4 linked regions of the Drosophila melanogaster genome follow. The protein of the gene in region 1 purifies or fractionates together with the protein of each later gene. This does not show direct contact. Each region holds a gene or a part of one and is shown in the gene's direction. Other genes may lie near its edges. The genes, in order: Fim, CG11267, CG9467 and Inos.

What was found.
Region 2: the proteins of Fim (region 1) and CG11267 purify together in Drosophila melanogaster (affinity purification with mass spectrometry, with the first as the bait; one large-scale study listed by BioGRID). This does not show direct contact.
Region 3: the proteins of Fim (region 1) and CG9467 purify together in Drosophila melanogaster (affinity purification with mass spectrometry, with the first as the bait; one large-scale study listed by BioGRID). This does not show direct contact.
Region 4: the proteins of Fim (region 1) and Inos purify together in Drosophila melanogaster (affinity purification with mass spectrometry, with the first as the bait; one large-scale study listed by BioGRID). This does not show direct contact.

Annotation. Positions count from the first base shown.
Region 1 is NC_004354.4:17,285,652-17,293,541, reverse strand, and holds Fim (fimbrin), read left to right. Parts: upstream 1-1,872; 5' UTR 1,873-2,213; coding exon 2,214-2,291; intron 2,292-4,504; coding exon 4,505-5,615; intron 5,616-6,007; coding exon 6,008-6,286; intron 6,287-6,351; coding exon 6,352-6,605; intron 6,606-6,665; coding exon 6,666-6,869; 3' UTR 6,870-7,838; downstream 7,839-7,890.
Region 2 is NT_037436.4:13,014,185-13,017,426, forward strand, and holds CG11267 (uncharacterized protein), read left to right. Parts: upstream 1-1,865; 5' UTR 1,866-1,977; coding exon 1,978-1,980; intron 1,981-2,172; coding exon 2,173-2,334; intron 2,335-2,402; coding exon 2,403-2,549; 3' UTR 2,550-2,719; downstream 2,720-3,242. Other genes in the region: MICAL-like, read right to left, coding at 1-953; mRpL20 (mitochondrial ribosomal protein L20), read right to left, coding at 3,009-3,165, 3,220-3,242.
Region 3 is NT_033777.3:9,797,218-9,802,949, reverse strand, and holds CG9467 (uncharacterized protein), read left to right. Parts: upstream 1-1,923; 5' UTR 1,924-2,219; coding exon 2,220-2,281; intron 2,282-2,359; coding exon 2,360-4,490; coding exon of another isoform or gene 4,491-4,661; 3' UTR 4,662-5,181; downstream 5,182-5,732. Other genes in the region: CG8526 (uncharacterized protein), read right to left, coding at 1-1,036, 1,098-1,321, 1,374-1,470.
Region 4 is NT_033778.4:7,454,406-7,460,540, reverse strand, and holds Inos (myo-inositol-1-phosphate synthase), read left to right. Parts: upstream 1-1,666; 5' UTR 1,667-1,803; coding exon 1,804-1,932; intron 1,933-3,693; coding exon 3,694-4,392; intron 4,393-4,464; coding exon 4,465-4,707; intron 4,708-4,771; coding exon 4,772-5,239; intron 5,240-5,309; coding exon 5,310-5,468; 3' UTR 5,469-5,619; downstream 5,620-6,135. UniProt on the Drosophila melanogaster protein: Key enzyme in myo-inositol biosynthesis pathway that catalyzes the conversion of glucose 6-phosphate to 1-myo-inositol 1-phosphate in a NAD-dependent manner. Rate-limiting enzyme in the synthesis of all inositol-containing compounds.

The DNA of each region.
Region 1 (7,890 bases):
AGTATATAAAATAAAAACAAATTGCTGTTTAATGCCCTTTTTTTCGAGTGTACATAGGTGAAGGGTTGGCAAACATCGGTGACACCAAAAGTGAACCCGTAGAAAGTTGCTTGGGGTCAGGCGTGTGCGGTTCTGGTGTTTGATTTCTTACTGCCAGTAAATAAGATACTTGAAAGTGGCTTTTAACAAATTTAAATGTGTAAATGAACGCGTTCCAATCAATGAAATGGTAGGCGTACTACAGGTGCTAATTAAGTGCAATATATTTTGTGAATTGAAGTACAATAAACTCATCTTATGAGGTAAATATTTGTTAAATTATTGCAATTTGGAGTAATTATCGAGGGGAAACAGTAAACTGTTTAGAAAGGTTAACGACCGATAGATTTACATACATATATCAGATATATTGTAATATAAATATGTATATATGTACTTAGCACAACATTTTCGATTGCAACCAATCTGATAGCATTACCTATAGGACTAAGCCCAGCTGCTCTTGCTCAAACTTGTGGATAGTATTATGTAACAACAACTGTTTTATAACAAAAGATGCGTTTGCTCAGCTGGGCTTATTCTCTTTAATTCGAAATATCGGTCGATCGAGGAGCGGCGACACTTACAAGCAAACAACAAAAGCCTTTGTATGTCCAGCGATTAGTCATCGCGAGTAACTGATCGATAACACTACTGGCCACTGTGCATAACTACACTGGGGAAAGTGTGCTCTTAAACTATTCGATTTTTATTATCTGCAAAGCTTATTTTTTTTAAGATATTTTGGCAGTCTTGAGGACTTTTTCTGAACACAAGATCCTTTAAAGTTTTACGTTAACCCCCTGGTTTTTATGTTCGAAGGAAGTTCTAAACGTTTATTGTCGCATTTCCTTGTCTTATCGCGCTTCGAACTTTTATTATCTTGGCTGGAATTAGATTTATGTTGTACAAGTTATAACCTAACCGAAATGACAATTGCCACATAATTCCCTCGCTGATATAATGGCTATTAAAAAACCAATTACGTTTAAATACCGTGTCCCTCTCTCAGGTACTTTTTACACTCATTTTCCCATTATCTCTCTATAAGTTCACCCGCCAAGTAGTATTGCATTTAAACGAAAACTTTTCGATGCGTAAGCAATTTGTTGAAAGCGATTTCGGACTTTTGAGAGTGTTGCGAATAGGGCTGCCACGTCACGCTAGAGACCGAAAATTGACAAGTGAATCAACTGAAATATGAACTAAAACTAAATTTAACTATCCAGGCAACGATTCATACAGCTTGCATAATTTCTTATAAGCTGAATCACTTGATCTACGTCACGTTTGTACATTCATGGTGTACAGTTTAACGATTTATTCACATGTAAAAAATGATAAACAAATAAGAGATTACGAAATAAATATTTTAAATTATGCTGCGATATGTTGCTGTTTGTATGTTATAATCACCCCGCATTTTATGGCGACTTGGCAACCCTGCTGTATTGTTGCACCTGGGAGAGAGCAAAAGAGAATGGCTAATATCATTGAAAGAAATAAAGTAAGGAGGGAACTGGATCTTGTCCCTTCCAGGAGAAAATTAAAATATATACCTAACAATGTTTCTTTATAGATGATTTCTGCACATTTACTGAACCTTTTACTTTGCCGTTTTTGAAACTAAGTAACTTTTTATCATAGTTTTTTTTTAGCGATACAGGATGACGCGTTTTCTAAAGGTGTTCGTCTGCCTCTCTTTGCACGGCTTCTCCCCTCTTTTACTCTCTCATTTACTGATAAGGCTCCGTTCGATTGGAGTGCTGTTTTTTGCCTCTGTTTTTTTGTGATAAAAGAAAAGGCATAAATAGTCCGTTCCACTGAACCACTCAATTAGTACTCAACAATAGCCCGTGGAAAGCGAATCAGCCAAAAAAGAAAGAAGAACGAAGAACGAGGAAGAAAGCAAGGAGTAGTTACAAGAAATATTTAATTAAAGCTCGCATCCTTGGCTCTCTCGCGCCGACTTTCTTTCGCTCTCTCCCGATCAATTGGAGATCTCTTCCGCTCGCGCACCACCCACTCTCTTTCTGACGCGTTTGTGCGTGTGTTGTGTACTTACTGTGTGCAAATCAATTAATTTTTTGTTGTTTGTTTGTTTTCGCAACGAAAACCAGAAGGAATATCGTAAATAATAAAATTAATTCCGCGTGCAAACATACATTGGAATAATGGCCGATATTCTCAACGTGGAGCAGCACCAAACGGTTCAGGAGTTCAAGCAGAATCTCGAGGAGCTCATTCCCAACGTAGGTGGCGCCACGGTCTCGACTACAGTGGATAACCGCTAAAGCAAACAACTATACCATACAAAAATATGCAATTAGGAACGCATATAAGGAAGATATCGCATTAAAGCATCTTTGAAAAATTGAATACGGATGTTAATTTTTAAATTCCTCACATACTTAAAAAAAACTTCGTTTTTAAATTGAGAGTCTTGAGTTGAACAGCCTTTAAAACGCTAATTTTGAATTTTTTATGACCCACAATTCACGTAATCACTCCCTCTCGATTTTGGTGTGTCTGTGTTTTTTTTTCGCCCTCTTTATTTTTCTGCCCTATCAACTTTTCTCGGAGCACTTTATAGCTTTTTAATCGATAACACCGACAGGTGCCACGCATACCAATACCCAATGCCAATAAGAGGGGCCTTTACAGTGAACACCTCCGATAAAGTGCACGCGCTTCAAACTGACCCACTACAGACCTCCCCCCGAAATTATGGCGAAAATCAGAATCACTTCCGTTCGATGTCAGTCAAATGTTGGCCAAAAGAATATCCCAGCTATCAGTCCGCTTGATAGTCTCTCTTTTGGCCAAGGACAACACCCTCGTTGGCTTAACGGTTTTCCCCCCGCGAAAACCCGTGAACCACCTATCATATCATTACCATACACGTAATCGTGTGCTGCTTTCGATTTTTTATGTTCATTTTTTGGCGCACAGAAATTTATCTTATCGACAAACAGCAAAAGCGGAGCAATCAACGCACCACTACTAAACCGAGTTACCAACCAGTGAGCCATAAATTCCACAGTCCAGTATATCAGCCGATCCAACTGCCCCTTTTCCCCTCAGATTTGTCCTATTTCGCACACCGAATATGGCGAAAATGTCGAACGTTTTATTATACCGTCCGGCTGAATACTTGGGTTTTCACCAATTTCGATATTTCGAATTGGGGGGTACCCATGGAAATCGCAACAATTTGGAGCAAAACTAACTAACTTCAAGCTTATTAAACTGTGGCATAGTTGAGGACTAAGCTACAATATGATTTTATGTGGAATATTAAACATATCAGCTGGGAATATTTTCAAAACATATTCCAAAATTATTATATTTTATTAAGAAAAAGTACTTATAATACATTATTACACGTTAAAATGTTATGTTTCCAAATAATTTAACCTTAATATTATTGAGTTAGGTTAGTTCTCAGTAAGTTTAAAAAGATAGTATACACTGCAACATAGATCAGCCACCGTTTTCAATGCTATTATAGTTTTAAACAAACGGGTTCGCATTTGTTAATTTAATTTTTCATTTTGTAACAACTTAAACCATAAACATAAATATTTCCCTTCGATGCCAACAATAAAAGCTTATCTAATCTAAATTATTTCAAGCATTTTGACCAAAAATCGCGTTTAAACCATTAAATATGACTAATAAATCTAAGTAAAGTGGTGAAACCCATATAATAATATATCGAATTGACTGGACTGTTTAATTATATAGCTCTTATATGTAAATCTGTTAAAGGAATCCCAGCTAGATTAAAATTAGTATTTAAAGTGGCCACCTCTTAGTCATTAAACTTTGCAAGAAATAATCAAGTCGGGTCCGAATCTCAAGTGTTTACAAACTGATTCATTCGTTCAGGCTTTCACTTCTTTAGTTCTTTTTTTTTTTTTTTTTTGTATATTTTCTCTTATTTTCTGTGGCGCCCACTCACGCTTTTGAACTGTATAAATTGAAGCGAACAATTTTCGATAATCAGCGATATGTCAGTCAGGTGGGAGATAAGACCCCTCGAACTGAAAACTGAAAAATGGAAATTAAATTCGATAAGGCTGGCACACAGACAATATAGCGATAAGGTTGCGGGAGATGGAATATAGCATTTTGCATTCCGAATTCCGCAGATAAAACAGGCACTGGAATGCGGCTGTGTGTTTGGCTTTCGGATTTGATTGATGACTCACAGATCGATCGTGGCAATAGGCGGCGGACAACTTACTCATGACCGGGGATTACTCATGGATCTTTCCTGTATTCAATTTGTATTGGTGTGCCCCTTAAGTCATTTTGAGTTCCGAGAAGGCCAGAAATTAAGTTTATGCCTCAGGAAAGGTCAATAATGTTTATGCCAATGTTAATGAAAACTGTCTAGATCTAATAGTTTTTGCAAATTGTTTTAAACCAATACTAATTAAAATCCCTCTCCTTCTTGTAGTTGGATGCCAACAAAGATGGCTTCATCGATCTGCACGAGCTAAAGGATGCCCTCAACCAGGTGGGCTTCAAGCTGGCCGGCTACCAGGTGCGCGAAATGATTGACGAGTACAAGGGCAAACAGCTGACTGCCTTCCAGGGCAAATTGAATCTGGAGGAGTTCGAGGCACTGTGCCTGGACCTGAAGAGCAAGGATGTGGCCAGCACATTCAAGACGGTCGTCTCCAAGAAGGAGAACTTGGAGACCCTGGGCGGCATGTCGAGCATTTCGTCGGAGGGCACCACCCATTCGGTGCGCCTCGAGGAGCAGCTGGCCTTCTCCGACTGGATTAACTCGAATCTGGGCCACGACAAGGATCTGCAACATCTGCTGCCCATCGATAGCGAGGGCAAGCGCTTGTATCTGAGCATCAAGGATGGTATTCTGCTGTGCAAAATTATCAACCACTCCTGCCCGGACACAATCGATGAGCGTGCGATCAACAAGAAGAACCTCACCGTCTACCGGGAGTTTGAGAACTTGACCCTGGCCTTGGTTTCCTCCCAGGCGATTGGATGCAACATCGTAAACATCGATGCCCACGATCTGGCCAAGGGCAAGCCACATCTGGTGCTGGGTCTTCTCTGGCAGATCATCCGCATCGGTCTGTTTAGCCACATCACCCTGGACAGCTGTCCGGGATTGGCTGGCCTACTCTTCGACAACGAACGTCTCGAGGATCTGATGAAGATGTCGCCGGAGGCCATCCTTTTGCGTTGGGTCAACCATCATTTGGAGCGAGCCGGCATCTCGAGGCGGTGCACCAACTTCCAGTCGGACATCGTCGATTCTGAGATCTATTCGCATTTGCTGAAGCAAATTGCCGGCAATGATGCTGATGTCAATCTGGATGCCCTGCGGGAATCCGATCTGCAGTCGCGCGCGGAGATCATGTTGCAGCAGGCCGCCAAGCTCAACTGCCGCAGCTTCCTCACGCCACAGGATGTCGTCAACGGAGTCTACAAACTCAATCTAGCCTTCGTGGCTAATCTGTTCAACAACCATCCAGGATTGGACAAGCCCGAGCAGATCGAGGGACTCGAGTCCATTGAGGAGACGCGCGAAGAGAAGAGTAAGTACTTAATATTTAGCCATACGTAAGATCGGTACAAAATACCGTTTTTATTTAATTGAAAATTAAACACAAGAAATCAAAGTTGATCAGGAAAAATCCAGGGTTTCTTATAAAAAAAATGTAGATATCAACTGCCACTTATATAGCATAATTAAAGCAATTATAAATATATATGTTTATCAATCGGCTTTGCACAAGAAGTGCAAGCCATAAAAACCGGGAATTTTTAGCTCGCAAGACCATTTATCACAAGAAGAATATAAGAATATAATACAATAATATATGTGTACTTATAAGAATACGATTACTTAGAATTATAATACTCAGGTGTTATATACATATTTGGAAAATATTTAACTTACACCAATCATTTCTATTTTTCTATCTAGCCTACCGCAATTGGATGAACTCAATGGGCGTGGCACCGCACGTGAACTGGCTTTACTCCGATTTGGCCGATGGTCTGGTCATTTTCCAGCTGTTCGACGTCATCAAGCCGGGTATTGTCAACTGGAGCCGTGTGCACAAGCGTTTCAGCCCGCTGCGCAAGTTCATGGAAAAGCTGGAGAACTGCAACTATGCGGTGGATCTGGGCAAGCAGCTCAAATTCTCGCTGGTCGGAATCGCAGGCCAGGATCTAAACGATGGCAATGCCACGCTGACGTTGGGTAAGCATTGCTATTCTAATTGTATTTTTGGATGTTACCAATTCTGAACTATCTTATGGTTACAGCTCTCATCTGGCAGCTTATGCGTGCCTACACCCTGTCCATTCTGTCCCGCTTGGCCAACACTGGCAACCCCATTATCGAGAAGGAGATCGTCCAGTGGGTGAATAACCGACTGTCGGAGGCAGGCAAACAGTCGCAGCTGCGTAACTTCAACGATCCGGCCATCGCCGATGGCAAGATCGTGATCGATCTGATCGATGCCATCAAGGAGGGCAGCATTAACTACGAGTTGGTGCGCACTAGCGGAACACAGGAGGTGAGTCCTGACTATGTCATGATATGTGGCAGACTAAACTAGCGCTTATTGATTCCGCAGGATAACCTGGCCAATGCCAAGTATGCCATCTCCATGGCCCGCAAGATCGGCGCCCGTGTCTACGCCCTGCCCGAGGACATCACCGAGGTGAAGCCGAAAATGGTGATGACCGTTTTCGCCTGCATGATGGCCCTCGACTACGTGCCCAACATGGACAGTGTGGACCAGAACAACCACAACAGCTCCGCCAACAACAGCAATTAGGCGCCATAGCCACAACTCATTTATACATAAACAAAAGGATGGGATTTTGAAAGGGAAGAACAGAGTGGGAACTACGTAAATTTGTCGTATTCGCTAATTACTAATAACTCTATTCGATTGCGTTCCTTCCTGCGCTACCAATACATTTTTGTGTTTTTTTTTTATTTCAATTACTTTTTGTAATTTTTTTATTATATATTTATATATTATATAATTGAGTATGAGTTTCCCCCTATTGTAATTAAGCAAACAGATTTTAGAGTGTCGCACATCTGTTTTCGAGCCCGGCGGGGTGTTTCTTAATTAGTTTTGTTTAACAATTGATTAATTATACAACTGTAACCTTATTTTATAAATAAAGGTTTAGCTTGTTCCGCTTAAAATCCTTAAAAGAAAAGAATGGTGAAACAAAAGAAAGAAAAAAAAAGCGACTTGTGCAGGATTAAGAAAGAATTATAATATTAACATTGCGACGAAAACAATTAACTCTGTAATATATATACATATATATTTATATACGATTACGATATGCGTCTATATACATAACATATAAATTTACATAAATCGATATATTTTTCCATAAACGCGTTGCCTAAAGAAAGATAACGAACGAAGATCAGGAATGGGGAATATTCAGAAACAAAAGAAGTCGAGAAAAACAGAGAAACTAATTTTATATTTACTATAAATTTTTTTGCGAGTAATTGTAAGACGCCTTTGTTTATGTGTTTTTTTTTCAACGTGCGTGTTTGTTCAATTTCTTTTTACATATTTGTATAATTTTGCGTTTAAGTGCGTTAGAGCGAGGTGGCAATAGGTATCGCCAACACGGCGTAGAAAGAGAGGGCAACAAACATTTTTAGTGCAATGAGGCGACATACAAATCCAAGAGAAAAAACGAATTAAGAAGAAGATGAAGTAATATTATATGCAGAATAAAAGTAAAACAATAAAGAAAATAAAAATACCAATATAAAAGCCGTTTCACTTAATAAGTCATAATTCTGTGAAGTTATCAACA
Region 2 (3,242 bases), on another chromosome or scaffold:
TCTGGTATAGCGGGCTTTACAGGAGTTGTTGATTTATTATATTGTTCAATAAGGCCACCATCTTCTTCGTCTAGTGGAATAAAAGAGATTTTACGCTCCTCTGATAATATAGGGTTTACCGGATTAATAGTTAGTTCATTATTTTGTTCATCTTTGTTGGACGGCGGTTGGAAGTTTTCAGGCTTATCAGTAGTACGTATATCATTATCTTCCAGGTCTTCTTGTTTATCTTCAGCTTCAGAGTAATCAGAACTTTGTGCCACCATTTGTTTATCATTCGGAGAATCAGTAGTGGTTGTCTTTAACTTTAAAATGTCAGATTCCGGTTCACTTTCTTCATCGGGACAAGTCTCGCAACAGTATATGTTATTGACCTCCGTTTCATAAAAACTCCCGGGTGTGAGCAATGACGAACATCTTGCACATTTTAAGCATGTGCGATGATAAGCCCGTTTGCCGACAAGGACCCTTTCGGCGAGAAAAACAGGAAGGTTGCATTTCTGGCACTTATCACGTCGAGGCATCCCAACAATGTGCATCACCTTTTGCGGTGGCTCACTCTCTTCGCCAAGTGGCTCCTCTGGCTTCGGGTGCTTCAGGCTCTTGCCGAGCACCTTGTAAAACTGGGATAAATACGTTAGTATGGAGAGTCTATCAGGTACTTCATACGAAACCATGTCAGCTGCATCGAGCAGTGCGGGAATTCCCAAATATTTCTCGGCCGTTGTAAAGGCCAAATCGTTGTTCTCATAGATATCGTCTGCTTTAAGTCGGTCGAAATCTATAAGATCCGGCCGAAAGTGGTGTATTATGGCGCAGAAGGCAAGTCCATTTCGCCAGGAAGTGGTCATGTTCTCCACCTTGACCCCATTATATCCTTGGGTCACAACTCGGCACCAATACTCCAAAGCCTTCGTACCAGTTCCAACTTTTGTGCCACGACGATCAGACATTTTAGTGGGTTAATTGCTGGCTTATTGGCGAATATAACTAAACGAAAATAGCAGTCACAAACTGTAAACTAAGTGAACAACAAAAGCACATCGTGCCACTTGACTTGAGTAAAATCAAATAAGATTTATCTGGTACAAATTACATTAAATGTAAACAAGGCAAAACGGTGACTCAAATAAATCTCCCAATCAGATTTAGTGGTGGGAGTGTCAGCAGCTATCGATAGTTGTTTCGTGCTATTTTCCCTTCTTAAAAACAAGATGTTTAGAAAATTCTGAAATTTTTTAATTTTTCTCAGGAATGCCACACTTTTCAATTATTTTGTTGCTTGTCTTTATTGTCTTGCACTTTGCAACAGGGTGTAGTGTGAACAATCCGCTGCCAGAGTCAATCGATTTAAATCGCTAGTATCAATAGCAACTCCTTGGTTTGAACATACCTAATTTCGAGGAAGTAAACAAACAATTCTGTTTTATGTTTATTTTATATTATATTATATTTTAATATTAGTAAATTTGAAAAAATTAAAACACCAGTAAAGCCCAGAAGATTTCTGGGCTTCTGATTTAATTTCTTAAAAAACGATTATTTAGCTCAACAAAGATGAGAACAGAAAATTGCACAACATGTTTATTATAAATTAATGGAAATTAAATTAATATGTTTAAATTGCATATAAAAGGAGTAATTCCTGAAATTGGTATACAAGTTATTATGGAAGTCCACCCACCAGACTCATTTTCATCTTCATGTTTTATAGGAAATCAACTCGGCAATTACTTGGCGAAAAGTTTATTACCATTTTAAAAGTTATACACAACTATTAATTTTTGCATTGACTTCTCTCAGTGTATTCGAACAGAAAAAATTATTTCTCAATGTTATATCCGTGAAATAGCCTGGTCACACCGACGATAAGCAGTCCCGCATCTAGCGAGAATAGTTACGCCGGCACGTGTAGTTGAGTAAAAAGTTCACTCATTAACTTTTATCAACCGCTCCAGTTTGCATTTAAGAATTAAAATGGTAAGTTAAAAGTGCATTGCCCCATATGAGGTTTAGAAGACAGTTTGAAATCGAAGGATGATATCGGTTTTTCGAGAAGGTTCCACGGCTTTCGGTCCACATCCCATTCGCCGGGCTGTTGTGTAATCAATGAGAGAAACATGAAACATTGAAACATGGGTTAATTGTTGGGTCTTTTTTAATGATCCTCAGGCCGCCGCTATCAAGAAGATCATCCCCATGCTGGACCGCATCCTAATCCAGCGTGCCGAGGCGCTGACCAAGACGAAAGGAGGCATTGTTTTGCCGGAGAAAGCGGTGGGCAAAGTACTTGAGGGCACCGTTCTGGCCGTAGGCCCTGGCACCCGTAATGCCGTGAGTATTTCGCCATTATCAATGCAGAGATGGTCATCTAATCACTGAACATCCCACTTCATCCGCAGTCCACTGGCAACCACATTCCCATTGGCGTGAAGGAGGGCGATCGTGTTCTGCTGCCCGAATTCGGTGGCACCAAGGTGAACCTAGAGGGTGACCAGAAGGAGCTGTTCCTCTTCCGCGAGTCCGACATCCTGGCCAAATTGGAGTAGATCTCGCCTCCGGACACTGTCTCACAATTCTATGAATTCTATGCTTTTTATTAGTATGTAACACACCCACAAACCCGAAACTAAAAACTACAATAAAAGCTCATGCAATATTTTTGTTTGCATTGCGCATGGACCGTCATTGAATAAATTTCGAGTTACTTGTTAAAACTAGCAGCACAGGTGTTTTGTCATTAATCACATTTGTCATTTTACTCGAAAAAATATTGGATTCATTCGCGGAAAAGGTAGTTGCAGTAAATAAATTAATGATTTAGTATCAAATTTCATTCAGCAAGCAGAAGTTACGAATTATGTAACTAAATGTAAATACGAATTCGGAGTTAAAAACTAATCTAAAGAACAAATCCCAAACGATTTTACTCCCTTCAAAGTGAAAATTAAAGATTACACGTTTAAAACATACAAATATCTATATTTGAACTCCTACTTAAGGCTATGTTAATCCAACTTCAGGTTGCTCAGTCCATAGACCTGGTTAAATGCCGATCTCCGTTTGATGTCTGGCATTCCCTCCACAGCTGCCCGCTCTCGAGAGATCTTTACTAGAGCTTCAAAAGATCGCGGCTCCCAAATGGCGAGGTCGGATAGGACTTTTCTGAAAGATGTTATAGGTTGTTAAAGGATATGGGAATTTTCCGGTGGTACCCACTTGTTGAGCAGAATATCGGAGCG
Region 3 (5,732 bases), on another chromosome or scaffold:
CGCAGTTCAGTTTGCCCAGGAAGCAGGCCAGGTGCATGGCGGAGCGACCATCGCAGTTGGTGTCGCACAGATTGGCGCCGTACTGCTTAAGATCGCCCAACTTGTGGACATCACCTTCGGTGACCGCGGCCGCCACCAAAGCGGGATAGAATGTGGAGCACATCTGCTGCCGTTCCATCGCCGTCGACATGTGCAATGTGCGGGCCACGCCCTCGATCAGATCAATGTCGTTAATCTTGGCAACCTTATTGGTGGTCAGCTCTCCGCGCAAACTTAGTAGCATCACCTTCTTCTTGTTGGGAATGTCCCACTCCGGCTTGGACAGCACATAGGCCAGTTTGGTAAAGGCTGCCTCCTGAGTCATATCGTAGCCGGGTATTACGCCCACTTCCATCAGACCCTGGCTTGTCTCGTAAATGTTGGCCACCATGCCCGCCGAGCACTGCGTAATGTTGACAATAATAACGCCTCTGTGAACCGCCTCCCTCAGTTCGTCCAGCAAGTCCTCACGATTAACCGGAAAATTGCCGGCCCCAAAGGTCTGGAGGACAACACCTTTCGTTGGCTCTTTCAGGATTGCCTGCACCACACTGGCACTTATTCCCGGGTAAATACGCAGCAGCGCCACGTTCTTTTCGAGTTCCGAATGAAGTGAAAATGGTTTAATATTGCACGGTCGGAAGATTTGGCGGCTGTTGATCTCAATGTTGACACTCGCCCGACCCAATGGTGCAAAATTTGGTGAGTCCAGTGCGTGAAAAGAGTCAGAATTGAGCTTCGTGGAGCGACAGCCACGTAGAATCTTGTTGCCGAAGAAGACCAGCACTTCGGGTATACTGTAATTTCCTGCTATGAGAAGTGCGCCCAAGAAGTTCTCCCGCCCATCGCTGCGGGCTTCAAAGATCGGAATCTGTGCCCCAGTGAATACCACGGGCTTGTTCAGGCTCTCAAGCATGAACGCTAGTGCCGAGGCGGAGTAGGCTAGGGTATCCGTTCCATGGAGGATCACAAAGCCGTCGTAGGACTTGTATGTCTTCTGCGAAAAAAGTTAGTTGCATATTTTGTATTAACCTGATGATCCTCGACTCTCAACTTACTCCCACTTCGTTGGCAATGCGCTTCCAGTCGCAGAAGCCCATGCAGCTGGAGTCCATCAGTGGGCAGAACTCAATCAAATCGTAAAGGACTCTATACGGAGCTCCAGACACTGCGGGTAGCACCATCATGGGACCATCATTATCCTTGCTGGTGTAATTCCTGTCGTGGCAGCTGGGAAACTCTTGAAGCTGCCGAGCCAGCACCTTGGGCGCGGTGTGCAGTACTGATGAGAAACAATTGATTAGTACACGGACAAGAGCCATTGATATACCCACCTCCGGACTCGTTGCGGATCATTCCGATGGTTCCACCCACGTAGATGACATGGACGCGAGCCTCCTTCTTCAAACAACCGCACTTCGCCGCCGGCATTTTGGGCTTTTTCGAAATTTTGAGTGGTGTCCGAAACTAAACTAAAGCGTAGTTCCAAAGGCTCAGAGTGTGACAGCAAGATCCATGAGCTTTTTGTTTTGATGCTTAATACAAGTCATAACTTTACAATATTTTCAAATTTACCACCAAGCGAAATAAACCGTTGCTTGACGAAAAGGTGGTATGACCGTATTGCATGGGAATTTAACCGAGAGTTAGAGATGTACACTGCTTCACAAGAAATATCGTTGCTTATAATTGTGGAAATGCATATACTTTCTGATGCCCAAATTAATTTTATTTCTATATTAATTATTTTTTAATGATGAATTGTTGTTTGGAAACCATCAAAAACCTTGGTGAGTTAACACATACAAAATCAAAAGTGGAAAGTTCAGCAAAACAACTAAATGCAACAGGGACCCCCCGTAAACAGTGACTCGTCATGGCTGGGAACAGTCACGACCAATTTGCCCATCCCTAGTTTCTACAGTGCAGTGCAACAAATAATAAATAAATAAATAGCCTGGCACAAAGAGTTAATCGAATAAATTGCACCCCGCAGCGCACGTCAAGTGGGTTGGGTACCGAAATCGCGAGTTATCTGCTCCGCTGACGCCGCTGCCACTGCTCCGCCATATCAGTTGCTGATTGGAGCGCTGGGAGCACGGAAGCCACACAAATAGAGGCGCATTTAGAGCAATCCCCACCGTCCGCTGCTGCGGCAGCCCGCGGGTCATCGGATTGCCATGTCCCACTTCACGCATGCCTCCAGCAGCGACCTGGTCAACCTCAATGTGGGTGGTCAGCGGTAAGAACAAAGAACCAACACATTACGGCCCACTAACGGCATTGATGACGCATGCAAACTCCATCTCACTATCCATAGCTTTTCCACGTCGCGGCAAACGCTTACGTGGATCCCGGACACCTTCTTCACGGCTCTTCTCAGCGGACGCATCTCGAGTCTCAGAGACGAGCACAATGCCATCTTTATTGATCGCGATCCGACGCTCTTCTCGATCATACTTAACTACTTAAGGACCAAGGACATCGACATCAAGAACTGCGAAATACGCGCTCTGCGCCATGAGGCCGAGTACTATGGCATCACGCCGCTGACCAAGCGCCTGGCCCTCTGCGAAGACCTTAACCACTCGTCCTGCGGTGATTTGCTGTTCTACGGATTTCTGGCGGCGCCGCCCATGCCGTCAAACGAAGCTGTGGCTGCTACTAGCGTTGACGAGTCATTGCCCTCCACTTCGGCCAGTGCGATTGGCAGTCGTCCTGGGTCCATGGTGCGCGTTCCCGAACCCTCACGCTCCTCACACTCGCGCAATTCATCATGGGATCTGCGCCTTGGTCGCACAGGTAGCACTGGCAATGGTGCCAATCCCCCAGCTCCCATGTTGCACTCACGTAATCCCTCGATTGACTTTATGCGCCACTCTCGGAACTCCTCGGCCGATCTGAACAAAGTCTTTCGAAACGAAGTTGGCCTGGTATTCAGTCCCACGCAGAACTCAAACTGGGTGGACCCGTTGCGAGTGCAAATCATTAAGGCGCACCAAAATTGGATAGCAGTGGCTTACGCACACTTTGTGACTTGCTACCGGGTGAAAGACTCCAACGGATGGCAGCAGGTGTTCACATCGCCCCACATCGACGCCACTATCGAAAGAATCGCCATCAACTCAAAGGTGAATACTTCCGCAGCAGAGCCACTGCCCAGCAAGATGGTGGCCATTTCTTACGGCAGTCAGATAAGATTGTGGAGCATTCAGGAGGGCGGCCAGAAAACGGATGTGGGCACGTTTAATTTAAATGTGCGAGTGGAGTACCTGTTCTTTATCGGCAGTCAGCTGGTGGCCCTGTCATCTTCCGGCAAGATCGGCGTCTGGCATGCGATGACGCAGCACTGGCAGATTCAGGACCTAGTGCCCGTGCTCTCATTCGATTCCGCAGGCTCTTTTTTGCTGCTGGGCTGCAACAACGGCTCCATTTACTACATAGACATGCAGAAGTTCCCGCTCCGGATAAAGGACAATGATTTACTGGTTACCGAGCTCTACAAAGATGTCACACTAGACCCTATCACGGCCATCTCGGTCTACCTTACCCCAAAAACCTCGAGCATAAGTGGCAATTGGATTGAAATTGCCTATGGCACAAAGTCGGGAGCGGTTCGAATCATTGTCCAGCATCCGGAGACAGCTGGCCATGGACCACACCTGTTCGAGACCTTCTTTGTGCACCAAAGCCCCGTAACGAAGGTGATGCTGTCGGAGAAATACCTCGTCTCCGTGTGCAGCGAATACCACCACGTGCGAACATGGCGTCTGACCCGCTTCCGGGGCATGCTCTCCACCCAGCCGGGATCCACGCCGGAAGCATCGTTCAAAATCGTGTCGCTGGAAGCTACCGATACGAGCTACAGCTATGCGGCTGGAAATGATTTTGGACCTTACGGTGACTACGACGACATGATATTTGTGCAAAAGGTGGTGCCCGAGACGGATCAGCTGTACGTACGCTTGGCCTCCAACGGTGATCGGGTGTGCGTCATTAGATCCGTAGATAGCTCCACAATTTCGGCCTTCTGTGTGCTCGAGTGCGAGGTATCGTCCCGGTTCATACTCACCGGTCACTGCAACGGCGCTATTCAAATGTGGGACCTAACCACTGCACTGGCGCTGCTCTCCAAGGATGAGCCGCAGCAGAAAATCAATGGCGGACCCGACACCAATGAGCTTCTCCGCCTACTTGACCAGTGTGAAATCAGCAATTCATCATGCACAACACCTTGTATGTCACCGTGTCTATCAGCTATGGGCAACGGCTCTGGAATGGCCTCCTCCATAGCCCGCATGAAAGCCAGCAACATAGCCCTGCTAAATCGGGAACCAGCAATGGCAATGGCCGTCCAAGCCGTCCAGCCGCCCGCTCAGGTCCAACCTGCTCTTCCAGAGGCTGTGGCGCCGGCAGCTGCTATCCCGATGGCTGACGACAACAACGAATGAGACGTGGAAGCGGCTGCTTGATTGGCGCTTGTCGGGCGCGTTTCATCGTTTACATTTCACAGGTATAGCTTAATCTTCGACTACCAGTTTATATTCCTGCAGTTCGTGGTGTGCGCCCTCATCTACGTCTGGGTGACGCGACTCACCCGCGGTCCAGCCACTGGGCCGTGATGAACTGCCAGCAGGCATTTACCCAATCAATTAATCTCCATTATATGTGCTCGATGTGTTTGCAAATGCAATGTGTATCCCGTAAACCCATTTTTTGTGCTCCTCCAAACTTGGATCGTACAGTTAGTAATTTAAAAAAAAAACGTCTGTCTTTGTTCTAGTTAAAGTTATGAAAATTAGTTAAAACCATGTAAACCAGAGTATAAGACTTCTGCAACCGATCATCTATAATTAGCACAACTCTCCTAAAGGGTGCTCCATCAGGACAGATACGAAATCGTTCGGCTTGGATAAGATTGGTTGCCTTAAGCAAAGAAAGTTCATTAAACAGCCAATCAGTTGATTGTCAACCTTGAAGATGATTACTTGTGATTAAAATCGATAGAGCGACTGCTTCAAATTCGAATCTGTCCTGTTGCATGCAATGCCACACATGAATATAATGATACGCCTTGTTGCAACCAGTAAACAGCTATACATATTCAATATAAATAAAGATAATTATACACAAAGAGATATCAAAATAGCGAGCGAGTTGTGTCATCAATAATTTATTGAACATTTTATCTTAGTTTCTTGATGGTTGAAGTGTTCCATTAACATTTATCAAATACAAATACTTGGCTTGCATTCTCGTGGGTGTTGTGTGTGTAAATACGTGTATATACGATATCCTACGCCTATACCGGACCTCAGTAAAGTAAAAAAGCAGCAAAAACGCCAAAACATATAAAAATATATATAATATACATTTGTGTATTGTAGGTAAGTTACCCCAACCCAACCCCGACCGCCATTTAAATATCATTGGCCTAAACACAACCCACTAACGACCGCCGGTGTGCTTAATAAACAATTTAAACAAGTGGCTCGTCAAGTGGGACCCCTGCCTTTAATTTACCTAAAATAGGACGCACTGGTACTGAGATAGAATAATAATAATGGAGTAGATACTTGGAGCGATTACCCACCCTCGCCCGGAAGCAATTGTCGAGCCGTTCATACAAATAGTTTGTACACAAATTCAACCTAAAGCTATGCTATATTCTAAAGGGCAAACCGATATGAAGC
Region 4 (6,135 bases), on another chromosome or scaffold:
TTTAGTTACTCTTTTTAGTGGAATTTACATACATAAGTGTACATAATATTAGACGTATACTGACCCCACCAGTATCTACACAAATACATATATTTCAAATATTAGCCTTTATTTAATGTTATCGTACGCTTGTTTAAGATATTTAAATACTTTATGTATTTGCTACTCAAGTTCAAGGTCGCTTTGCAATCTCGAAATACATTTATTTGATATAAGTGCAAACATTTCGTCCAAAGGGTGCCCCCCAGCAGGAAATGGATACGGACTGATACCGAGTATTTGGTTGTTGCTTTTTTCTGGAACTATATGCCAGACTTGAGCCGCCGATAGAGTTGCATGTGAGGGAAACGAGACGCCCACGCCCACACCCACTGCAGCATGTGCCCGGTCTGCTGATTGCTCCAGCGGGGCAATTCGGTATGGAACCTTCTTGATCTGCAGTGCAAACGGAACGGCCCACTGCATTGATTGATCAACAAATAGTAATTCGAGCTCCCTTCGCACTCAATTGGCTGCAATAATGGAAAGTTTTGAGAAGTTTCGCTTACATCTGGCTTCCAGAAGATTCGACGAAGCCTTCGGCCTGCTCTCACGGGAAGACTTAGCTAAATGGTACCGGAGAATTGAATTCTACTCATGCATGTGTGCAGTTCCAATCCAACAGATGGTACTGAGATTTTTGAAATTGATTATAATTATGATGATGTAATGATGTAGGAATACTAATTAAAGATTATTCAAGCGAGGCTAAGGGATCTTTAAGGCCTGTCAGTATAGGATTGTATCTATGTATGGAAATAAAATATAAAAACAAAAGAGAACGCTTTAGTCGATCTCCTCGACTATCAGATACGAGTTATTGAGCTAGTGGGAATGCAAGGGAAAATTTGAGAATTTTTTGGCATACTGATAAAAATTGGCAAGTAAAATCGCACCGGTCAAAATATTTTTGAAAATTGTAGGCGTGGCCAGAATGCATGCTTACTCTTTACTTTCTAGCTTCTATAGTTCAGGTGATCCTGCGCTCATACGGACAGACATACGGGCATTACCAGATTGACTACGCTAACGATCCTGATCAAGAATATAAATATAAATATTCGCCAATATTTTTAAACATAGTTCACTTTTTCAAGCCCTTTTGTTACCAACGTTTTTAAAAATAACATCAACTGTTTAAAAAAAAACAAATATGCCTAGACTTTAGCTTTTATAATGGATTTGCAAATATTCTCTTCTTAAGAATTGAGTTTTGAGTTTTATTTCTCATTTCCGTTCATACCACTTTATTTGAACTAAAAGTACTCTTCATAATTTTTACGAAATCGATCAGATTTTTTTATAAAGCGTTACAAACCATTTGAGAATAAGAGCAAGTGGGAAATTCCACGATTGAACCATTTCCTCGAATTCAAACTCAATTGGGCACTCAATGAATTATGGAAATAGGTGTACTACGATCTCCGGCTGGAAAGAGGCGGACAGAAGGACTCCGCGATGCTCGCTAAGAAATCCCACGCTTGCCGGAAAATTTCCGATATCATCTGGTTCCTATAAGTGCGCCGCAGAGCGTTGTGGAGAGTATATGCACATATCGTACATGAGTCGCGGAATAAGAGAGTGCGCCTCTGCCCGCGGGAGACCATAAAAGCGGCCCGATTTCCACTCAGCCGAGTCATTCGCCGCGAACTTTTGCCTCGACCACATCGCAGTCTCTTTTGCAGAAGCCAGGAATTCCAGAAGCAAGCACATTGAAACGCGCTAATTGACAAGACGAGAGTGTGTTAGCAAAAACATCCCAGAATGAAGCCCACCAATAACTCAACCCTGGAGGTAATCTCGCCGAAAGTGCAGGTGGACGATGAGTTCATCACCACCGACTACGATTACCAGACATCCCATGTGAAGCGCACCGCCGATGGACAGCTCCAGGTAGGTCCAATCGTCAAGGGATTGCTTATCGAACCATGGGCACTAGTTGATCGGAAGCATCATCCACTTGAATGATATTGATATCGAATGTGGTGCGAACAGTCATTTTCCGGCTGACCTTCACATTGAACTTTTCCAACAGGCGGGATGGATAAGCTCTCCCGCTCAAATGCGCACTCGCCTGCACTCGGAGAAAAATATTTCTCACCTGGATGAAGAAATAGTGGTTTATTTTGTTTCGAGTCCAGCATAGGCCACCTATGACTAATTGCATTCTATTTTACAAAACAGAATCTTATAAATTTTAATATAAATCTGTAACAAGCAATGTTTAAATTATGAACTTAATGAAAAGGCCATTTAACCATGTTAAAGTTATTTGATTAATTTCGTACTATAAATTAAATTGTGAACATCCTTAACGTATCACATCCAAGCACAATTAGTTTAAAATCTTAACTAAGAGTTAGCTCGTTATAGCGTAATGAACTGAAACTTGCTACCCCAATATAAGCGTTAACTTAGCAACTAAATTGACCCAGTGAAACTTTCCATTATCCAGCAAAGGACCGAGCTGTGCCGAATTCTCGGAGTCCATAGGGACCACTCCCCGGAATCGCAAAAGACAAAAATAGCGATAAGAGAGAGGGCCGGCCTCCTATCCAATCGCACTCACACAGGCGGGGCGTTACAGTTACAATTTATTGATTGCTCAGCTGAACAGCTGACGACAAATACGGCCGATAGATATCTCGTCACTATTCCGGACCGAGCGCGAGTGGCGTGATTTTATGCGCAGGCGCCTTTTCGGCCGCTCGAATGGCACCTAAATAAATAGGAATGGGGCTGGTGCACCCGACTAGAAACCCAATAGCCCATTTTTCCAAGTGATTGTGGTCGCGGTACGTGCTCTGTTTACACCGCCTGCAAACAATACACTCCACCCATCAACCATCTCCCTTCGCCCACTTCCCTCCCACGGACACTTGCTGCGCCTCAAGGTCACTGTCAGGCGATGCCCGCGAAGAGAGCATCTAATGTAAAGAGAGAAAGAGCTCCTCTCTTAGCCGGCTGAAGAAATGTGATAATTTCGCAGGCCGGCAAATGGACATCTTGTTATCGGACTTTGGACCAACACGTTCCCAAATTATTATTTCATCAATATCATTTCTTATTCATCAGTTTATACTATATGACATGTTTGTGGTTCAAATCAAAGAGCGCGTTGACTCGGCAAAAACAGAAATCGAGCAAGAACTGCCCAAATCAACAACACCCAAATGCGGTTATACGATCGTGCGATACCTCTTACGTGTAAATAATGCATTTGTTATTTGTTTCATCCGATGATAACATAACATATGAAACTATTACAGACCATAGAGATTTCGCGAAATTTGTTGTATGAAAATTTATTGTACCTTTGTATGCTTATATAATACCATTTTCCTGGGTACTTTAATACTTCATATAGTTCACTTACACCTATATCATATTGTAACATAAGATAGGGTTTTAGTTTCATCGAATTAAATCGATGTGTTGCCAAGAGCACCCAATCGCAGATATCCCCGTTGGCAATATCAGGAAGGGGTGAATTTCAGGTTTGCTTCGCAGAAATCGCGCGATCATAATTTATGCGGCTACCTGACTTGGGTGGCTAATGTGAAATATCGATAAGGTGGCCGGACCTATAATAAGACCAAACGGGTTGTGCCATTGCTCCTGCTTATCGGCTCTAATCACCGATCGATCTTGCAGGTGCACCCCCAGACGACGTCGCTGAAGATACGGACGGGTCGCCATGTGCCCAAGCTGGGCGTGATGCTGGTGGGATGGGGTGGCAACAACGGATCCACGCTGACCGCCGCCCTGGAGGCCAATCGTCGCCAGCTGAAGTGGCGCAAGCGGACGGGCGTCCAGGAGGCCAACTGGTATGGTTCCATTACACAGGCGTCCACCGTCTTCATTGGATCCGATGAGGACGGCGGTGACGTGTACGTGCCCATGAAGGAGCTGCTGCCCATGGTGGAGCCCGACAACATTATCGTGGATGGCTGGGATATCAGTGGCCTGCATTTGGGCGACGCCATGCGCAGGGCCGAGGTCCTAGACGTGGCTCTGCAGGATCAGATCTACGATCAGTTGGCTCAGTTGCGCCCACGTCCATCCATCTACGACCCCGACTTCATCGCGGCCAATCAGTCGGATCGGGCTGACAACGTGATCCGTGGCACTCGTCTGGAGCAGTACGAGCAAATCCGGAAGGACATCCGCGACTTCCGCGAGCGCAGTGGCGTCGATTCGGTCATCGTCCTCTGGACTGCCAACACGGAGCGCTTCGCGGATGTCCAGCCTGGTCTGAACACCACCAGCCAGGAGCTCATCGCCTCCCTGGAGGCCAACCACTCGGAGGTGTCACCCTCCACGATCTTCGCAATGGCCAGCATCGCCGAGGGGGTGAGTTATTCTCCTCCATTCTATTGATAAGCAAGACTAATTACCTAATCCACCATGTATCCACTTCCACAGTGCACCTACATCAACGGCTCTCCGCAGAACACCTTTGTGCCCGGACTGATCCAGCTGGCCGAGGAGAAGAATGTTTTCATTGCCGGCGATGACTTCAAGTCCGGTCAGACCAAGATCAAGAGCGTGTTGGTAGATTTCCTGGTGGGAGCTGGTATCAAGCCGGTGTCCATTGCCAGTTACAACCATCTGGGCAACAACGATGGCAAGAACTTGTCCGCTCCTCAACAGTTCCGCTCCAAGGAGGTAAGAGTCCAGCCAGGATTTCCAGGATTCCTCCTCTTATTAATAATAACTCCTCCTCCGGCAGATTTCCAAGAGCAACGTGGTGGACGACATGGTTGCCTCCAACAGGCTGTTGTACGGACCCGATGAGCACCCCGACCACGTCGTGGTAATCAAGTACGTGCCCTATGTGGGCGACAGCAAGCGGGCCATGGATGAGTACACATCGGAGATCATGATGGGCGGCCACAACACCCTGGTGATCCACAACACCTGCGAGGACTCGCTGCTGGCCACACCGCTCATTCTGGACCTGGTTATCCTCGGCGAGCTGAGCACTCGCATCCAGCTGCGCAATGCGGAGAAGGAATCCGCCCCGTGGGTTCCCTTCAAGCCAGTGCTTTCCCTGCTGAGCTATCTGTGCAAGGCTCCACTGGTGCCCCAGGGCTCCCAGGTGGTCAACTCGCTCTTCCGCCAGCGCGCCGCCATAGAGAATATCCTGCGTGGCTGCATTGGTCTGCCGCCCATCTCACACATGACCCTGGAGCAGCGGGTAAGTAGGGTCAAGTCAAAAGCAATCATTCGGATCCTTAATATCCTCGATTTCTTCTTTCTATTCACAGTTCGACTTTTCTACCATTACAAATGAGCCGCCTCTAAAGAGGGTCAAGATCCTGGGCCAGCCCTGCTCCGTGGAATCGGTCACCAATGGAAAGAAGCTCCATGCCAATGGACACTCCAATGGGTCCGCCAAGCTGGCCACTAACGGCAATGGTCACTGATGGATGGCCGCATCCCTGATTTTCGATCGGAATATATAATTGGAATATATATGGTTTTAGTTGGATAAACTACGAAATAGACTTAAGCTACTATTACTAACTGAATCGTTTAAATATAAAAAGGCGTAATAGACTGTTGTCTGTATACCACAAAACAAATATTTATTTCTTATGAGCACGATCATATCATATCATATCTTAGAGATCATGGAGTTTACTGGATATGGAACACATCTTCAAATGTTTGGGAAACAACAATGGAAGGAAGTTCCTGCATTGAAATACTTAATTAATATCCACGTTTAGCCTAAAATTTAGTTCTCGAAGATTATTCAAAAGTTCTTAGTATGAGTAAATTTTAGTTTAAGATGGGTAAATAATAACGACGTTTGTTTGGTACAAATAGTTTAGTTATTATCATATTAGAAGCTTTTTGTTCTCATATTCCAATTTCATTTTTTTGAAGGCATGAAAATAACATGAAATAGAAAAAAAAATGCCACCTTTTAGGCGAAAAACGCTATCTGTTGTGGTCTTGCTGCTAAAAATGTCAACCTTTTTTTCTGACAGTTGAATCGGTTTGATCCCGATGATTGTTGCTAAATATTAAAGTATAAAATATTATATGAGTGTTAAATTATGTCCGGTAAGACACTTTATTTTAATA